Saccharomyces cerevisiae S288C: one gene and its partner. The gene in region 2 interacts genetically with the main gene of each other region. Each region holds a gene or a part of one and is shown on either strand. Other genes may lie near its edges.

Region 1 (3,284 bases), on a different chromosome or scaffold from region 2:
TTTACCAGTTTTTCAAAAGTGACCAGTTAAAGTTCAATTTTACGCTTTTGCGCCAAGAGATGAAGAAATTGGATAATTTGCAGTATTTTGCCATGCTATTCATACTTTTTCTCTTATCACAGTTTAACATCATAATCAGCGGCTCGTTATACAGTCCCGTTATCTTTTCAATCTTTCACTTCCTGAACTATTTTAAGGAAAACCTTTTGCCATTTTTGCCTTTGATACCACTTAATTTGAAAAATTTGTTGAACTCCAAAATAACGGTATTCATCCAAAACTACAATGGATTTTTCTTACAGATGGCGCAAGTATTTGAGATTATCTGCGGCCTACGTGTGGGCCTCTTCTTAGTGCCCTTCAATTTTTTCTTGTTGTTGGTAAGAAGAGCAAACGTGTCGTTTGAGGTAGTGGGTACAATGTTGGCAGGACTAACCTATGTATGGTTTTTCAAATTAAGGTACCTACAAAGTGAATCTATGAGGCAGATATTTAAACAATATGTCCTTAGGTTGGATGCATATGTCAGCCGTACTTTGCCCCCATATTGTTCCCGTTTATGGAACGGCTATAAGAATTTCGTTATGACAGTGTTTTGGAAGATACCTGTGTAGCATGCTCATTTTAAGTATATCTAAATATTATTTTGTATATACTCACACTCCTCTATAGAAAGCAAAAAATTTCAAAAACGTTTGAAAAGCTTTGTTTAACGATACTTGTACTTAATTTTAGAGTCAGTTTCACCCCTCCTCTCCCTTTTCATCTGCCTTTTGGATTTGGATTGTCCCTCATTAGCATTTTTTGAGCGATTATCTGCCTGAGTTTGTTGAGCGCCAGGCATGAACATGTTTTTGAGGCCATATAACTTGTAACCAGCATAGATGGGGCACAATAGTAGACACCACCAAAATTTGAATGTCCTGAAAGCTATAATACCAATGTTACCAAAAAGTGATAGATATATCAAATCAAAAAAATATGATATCAAATTTGTATTGTCGTTCAAGTCTATACCTTGTTTTACTACGCGATTGCCATCATATTTGGGCTTACCGGATAGCACAATGATATACAGAGCAACGAACATAGGAACGTTCAAAGCCACCAGCTTAATCCATTGGCCAATTGTAACCTTACGTGAAATGAATAGACGTACGATAGCCATTCCTAAAAACAAAGAGACTTGCTTGTATAAGCCCTGAATTATTTTTGCATTTGAACTAGCCTGTTTCCTCCCTGCTTTGCCAGCCATTCTACCAACACAAACTTAGACCACTGCCTTTGGTGTCTTCTTGAAGCCACACGTGAATACTACCTTTTTTTCATCTATTATCTTTTTTTAATTACGTTGAAATTTTTCATTTCAAAGGCGCAGAACGAAGGTCGACTAATTTCATGACAGTCGGTAGACGTGGAGAAAAAAGTTGATTGTTAAGCCTATTAAGTTCCACTGAGACAAAGACCCACAAAGCTAGCTAGCATTGCCGCACTTCTCCAGAACAATGTTCTCCTTTGTCCAAAGATTCCAGAATGTATCGAACCAGGCCTTTTCAATGGGAATTGTAATGGTTGTATTCATCATGGCATCCTCATACTATCAATTAATCAATAATAACGCGTTCTCAGTACCTAGTAATATCGATAACGTCAAAACTTTAATAAATGTTAGAACAAGTAGATATTTTGGCTCACAGAGAGGCAAGGCAAAGGAAAATATGAAAATTAAATTTGATCTAAATACAGATCTCACTCCCCTATTCAATTGGAATACAAAGCAAGTTTTTGTCTATCTAACTGCTGAGTATAACAGTACTGAAAAAATAACAAGTGAGGTAACATTTTGGGATAAGATCATAAAAAGCAAGGATGATGCTGTGATTGATGTGAACGATCTAAGATCCAAGTATTCTATCTGGGATATTGAAGATGGAAAATTCGAAGGCAAGGATTTGGTTTTCAAGTTACACTGGAATGTTCAACCATGGGTAGGTTTGCTAACTTACGGTGAAACTGTAGGCAACTATACACTGACCGTGGAAAATAAAAACAAAGTTTAGACTAGTCTTTGCTCTCTCAATTTTTGTTAATTATTTACATGATTTTTTGATATATATGCAGTTGATTATACAATATGATATATGCATTTCTAGAATTTACTCACAGGTAATACTCTCTTAGATTTCCTCAGTTCTTTAAAATATGAAAGATGTCTCATTTCAATCTGTTCCCATTTATTGATCTTGCTTCTTGGCATTAATAAGTAATCTTTCATAAAATACTTGTAATTTGATATGAAGTCACGTACCTGATCTTCTAAAGTTTTTAAATCATCAATACCGTCCAAATATGTGTCTAACTGCCTCATTATACTGTTATATGTATCGCTTTTTAAGTATAGTCTGGGCTGAAATTTATTGGGCTCTTTTTCCTTCATTTTTAATGTTGGCCAAGATTTATCACTGGACTGCGTCTTATCCTCGGATAGTTTCGTTAATAGTCTAAATTTATGGATCAAATTATACCCATGAATTAGTGTGTCATCAACGATTTTCATACCATACGAAAGGGTTCTTGGATCCTTAAATAACGCTTCTACAGCGCTGTTCCACGATATATTATCTAAAATAAAACCTTTTTCTCGCAATTTCTTCCACAGTAATGGCAGCTCATCGATTTTATTCATTGCAATCAACTGACTTACTTTATAAGGGAACAATCCGCTGAATATGCTTCTTAGTTTAATATTTGGCGTTGTAGATGATGGCAAGTTTTCAATGTTTTCAATACGATCCATGTATTTAGCGAAAAGTGTTTCGAAATCTTTCCATTGTTCAATTTGAGCTAGTAATACCAACAATGATCTCATCATCACAAATTTATTATTATTTGATATCCAATCATGCTTTTTGAAGAAAAGCTCATTGTACCGGTTGTATAACTCTAAAGCCCGCTGTGGGCTATCATGTTTCACAATCATTCTCATTGGCCATGCCATGACCGAGGGATGCAGTTTGTTATACGTAACGTCGAGAGTTCCATTGGCAGCATTTTCCATGATGTCTTCTACCATATTAATCGTTTCCTTGATTTCCTCATTATTTTGTAGGCTTTTTTTGGCAACGGCCTTCAATATATAATATAAAATTTTGGAATTCGCTGGTACCTTATTCTGTGACATTGTCTTGTACAAGTTAATTATACCGTCACGATAACCCTCTTTGTCATATGCCTCCATTATTATTTCAAAATGTGTAGCGTCCACCTTGATTACAGAATGTTTT
Region 2 (3,682 bases):
AAAAGTGTTGGTTTACTAGGAATGGGCAGCATTTTTGGCTTGAGAGGGAATAAATTTTTCAATTGTATGTCCGTTGGCAGTATTTTTTTACTATCCAATTTTTCAATCACTGTCAAATCATATTTCCCTAAGCTGCCACCATGATTTCTTTTTTCGTATTCCGCCAAAGTAATGACACTATTACCACCGTTTTCGATTCTCTTTTGTAAGCTTCGGACAGAATTCAATGACAAAAGATTTGCTGGAAGTAAGATTTCGTCTAGAGATTCAATTTCAGATAATTTGTTTTCTAATCTTCGGTAAGCGTCCACATATAGAGCTAACGCCTCCATATATCTGCCTTTCGACTGATATAAAACACTCAGGCAGCCCGTATTCAGAAATAACTGGAAATACAGCTTGCATAAGTCTAATTGGCTTAGCAGCTCGTCATCTGAATACACACCAGGTAGCTCCATTATGTCCGATAAATATTTTGTCAAATTCTTCACAATACGTTCCATTTCTTTATATTTGGTTAACTTCGATGGTAATGAAGTATTTAATTTCAGCCATTGATTCCATAAATGAGTAAACAAATCTCTTTCACGAGATATAGAGGTCAAAAGAATATTATATTTAATGTAGGCTAAAATTATCTGATTGTTTTCAGAACTATTTTCAACCATCTCGTCTATGTCATCTTGATCGTCGTGGTTTGCGATGAAAAATTCATGACGGTCTAAAGCTTTCTCCAATTTTGATAGCCTCTGTGTATATTGAGTAATCTGAGTTGGGTGGATAGATAGACCTTGTTCCAAAAATTGAGCAACTTCAGCATCGATTATCTTGGCGTTGAAAGATCTCCAGTTTATGTTAGTGGTAACCTTTTGATCTTCAGTTGAGGTTGTAATTTTTTTCATATTGAATCCATTGTCTAATAACAATTTCACAAGCTCATCGTCCTTGTTCTCATCAGATTGAACTCTTTCCACGATAAAGTTATTTATTTCGGGCGTTGTAATTAAATTTCCCGCGTACTGCTTGAGAGAGTACTGGTATTTATTAACAATGTTATCTACAACTTCTTCAGCTAATAAGCTTAGATTCTTCAAGTGTTCCAATGCGGCGAAAACGAGGGCTAGGTTGTTCGAAATTTTGGCATTGTCCTTCCTCTTGAACCTTTTTCCATTAATTAGGTACTCTGAATGTACCAATTTAGCGAACGCTAAATATTGGGCACGAGTTATCCATTGCTGTTCATTTTGAGTGACGTTAACCAATTTATCAGCAGTCTTGCAGGCCTTCTTCAATCTTGTGGATAAAACCTTTTCTTCACTTTTCTTTAACTTTCCTCTTTGACGAGCTCTCAATTTCAAAGTTTCAGCCAGTGCCAAGTCCCTTTCAGCGTGTAGTAAAATCAAAACACCAATCAATTTAGTTTTATTATCATAATCCTCGGAGTTAATTTCGCCATACTTATTTTTACTTGAGTATTTCTTTGTATCCTTGGTGACCAAATGGCAACGGCTCCTCAAGTGTTGCAACTTTTTATTCAATTTCGCATGATACTTAGCGAAGTCTGAGTCTGTTTCTAAAAACTGTTCTGCACGATTACCATAGGTGGCAATGATTGGAGAATAGGCAACCATCTTTAGTTTCAAGCGTGGCTAGTTTTTGATTCAATATGGAAAAAAAGAAAATTACACTGTAATATAATACAATTGATCACTTTGATGCTCAAATAATTCAAATAACCTAGTCTCCAGCTGCTCGTTTATGCTAATATTGTTGGATTAACTCTAGCAAATATACTCCAAAAAAAATTTTCAGAACTTATCACGAACAACGATGTGGTAAAGACAACGAAATACTACGTAAATCATATTGGTCTGCTCGTTTATAAAAGCTTACTCCCAATCAAATCACTGCAATGGAATATGTCGTTTGGTTCGTTGTTGTAGTTTGTGGAATGCCAGAATCATCAGCTGTTTCTCTTCCAAAGCTTCCCTGAGATCGCTTCTAAAGGTTGTTTTGTAGATCCCATCGAACATGAAAAAATGACAGCAATGTAATTAGAACCAGAATTACAACGTAACAAGAAGAAGTAAACAAGGCAGTATTCGTATATTTGTATGGCGGGAAGTACATCCAGTTTGGTGATCTGTGCGATTGGTATATATGCTACTTTTTTGACGTGGGCATTAGTACAGGAGCCTTTGGCTACAAGAACCTGGCCAAACTCCATGGGAAAGTTTCAATTCCCTAATGTAATATCCCTCATACAAGCTTCTGTGGCAATGATGATGGGCTACCTGTACTTAAACTGGAAGAAGGTGGAATATCCGCCCAGAAAAATGATTAAAGATCATTGGAAACAATTGATGTTGATATCATTTACACAGAGTAGTTCAGGCCCGCTGGCTACAACTTCTTTAAAGCACGTGGATTATCTCACTTACATGTTAGCAAAGTCATGCAAGATGATCCCCGTGTTGTTGGTGCATTTGCTTTTGTATAGGACGCCCATAGCAAGCCAAAAAAAAGTTGTAGCTCTCTTGGTAAGTCTCGGTGTCACTATTTTCACTATAGGTGGCAACGATGGTAAAAAGTTGAAGAGATCCTTTAATGAGAGCGGAAATGATAACAAATTACAAGGGTTTGGACTACTTTTCTCTAGTTTATTCCTTGATGGATTGACCAACGCCACCCAAGATAAGCTACTAAAGGCCAATAAGGCCAAAGAAAAGGGAAAACAAACTTTGATAACAGGTGCACACTTGATGTTTACACTGAACCTCTTCGTGATATTGTGGAATATTTTGTATTTTATTGTGATCGACTGCAAACAATGGGATAATGCCGTTTCTGTATTGACGATGGACCCACAAGTGTGGGGCTATTTAATGCTTTATTCGTTCTGTGGCGCTATGGGACAATGCTTTATTTTCTATACTCTAGAACAATTTGGCTCTTTAGTTTTGATCATGATAACAGTCACCAGGAAAATGGTCTCGATGATTTTGAGTATTATTGTCTTCGGTAAGAGTGTACGTTTCCAGCAATGGGTGGGGATGTTTATAGTATTTGGTGGAATCACTTGGGAAGCACTCAACAAGAAGAAGGCTAATATACCGAAGGCAAAATCTGCGTAGATTAGTGAAGATCGCAACAAATAAAAGTTAATATTTATAAAATTTGTCTATACTATGTACTTCCTATTTTTTTGATGGACGAAGCAGTCTCTCTCTTAATTCAGGATCGTATGCATAAACATACAGACCACGCACGCCACGAGTTAAGAGGACATTAATGCTATTCATAATAATCTTTTGCTTAACGTCCTCTGCATTGTGAATGTTTTTCTTTTTGGTGAAACCGGCCCTATCGTCATACAGCTCTGGTCTTAGTTTGATGCAGTCATTAGCCGCATCATACCCAATGGAACGGCCCAAAATTACACCAGCATAATTCAGATCAAACCCTTGGATAGTATACACACTACCTACCTCATCAATCGTGTCGCAACGCTCACTCCAAGGCGTCACTTCACGTGGAGTATAGCGATCCCAGCGAACTTTGAAATTGTCACCACATTCAACGTAATAGTCTTTTCCGTCCAAGCGATAGGGAAAATCGTAAGTAGATAGCATCCTACATTGGCCGTATTGACGGTCTTTCTCCTTGATTGCCTCGTACATGG

What was found.
Region 1: mutations in HUT1 (region 2) and SND2 together harm fitness more than expected from each alone (negative genetic interaction), as found in Saccharomyces cerevisiae (2 studies listed by BioGRID).

Annotation. Positions count from the first base shown.
Region 1 is NC_001144.5:265,664-268,947, forward strand, and holds SND2 (Snd2p), read right to left. Parts: upstream 1,256-3,284; coding exon 710-1,255; downstream 1-709. Other genes in the region: PER33 (Per33p), read left to right, coding at 1-614; signal peptidase complex subunit SPC3, read left to right, coding at 1,506-2,060; PET309 (Pet309p), read right to left, coding at 2,150-3,284. UniProt on the Saccharomyces cerevisiae protein: Functions in the SND pathway, a SRP (signal recognition particle) and GET (guided entry of tail-anchored proteins) independent pathway for targeting a broad range of substrate proteins to the endoplasmic reticulum.
Region 2 is NC_001148.4:86,466-90,147, reverse strand, and holds HUT1 (UDP-galactose transporter HUT1), read left to right. Parts: upstream 1-2,114; coding exon 2,115-3,134; downstream 3,135-3,682. Other genes in the region: signal recognition particle subunit SRP68, read right to left, coding at 1-1,631; YPL245W (uncharacterized protein), read right to left, coding at 3,198-3,682. UniProt on the Saccharomyces cerevisiae protein: May be involved in specific transport of UDP-Gal from the cytosol to the Golgi lumen. Involved in the maintenance of optimal conditions for the folding of secretory pathway proteins in the endoplasmic reticulum.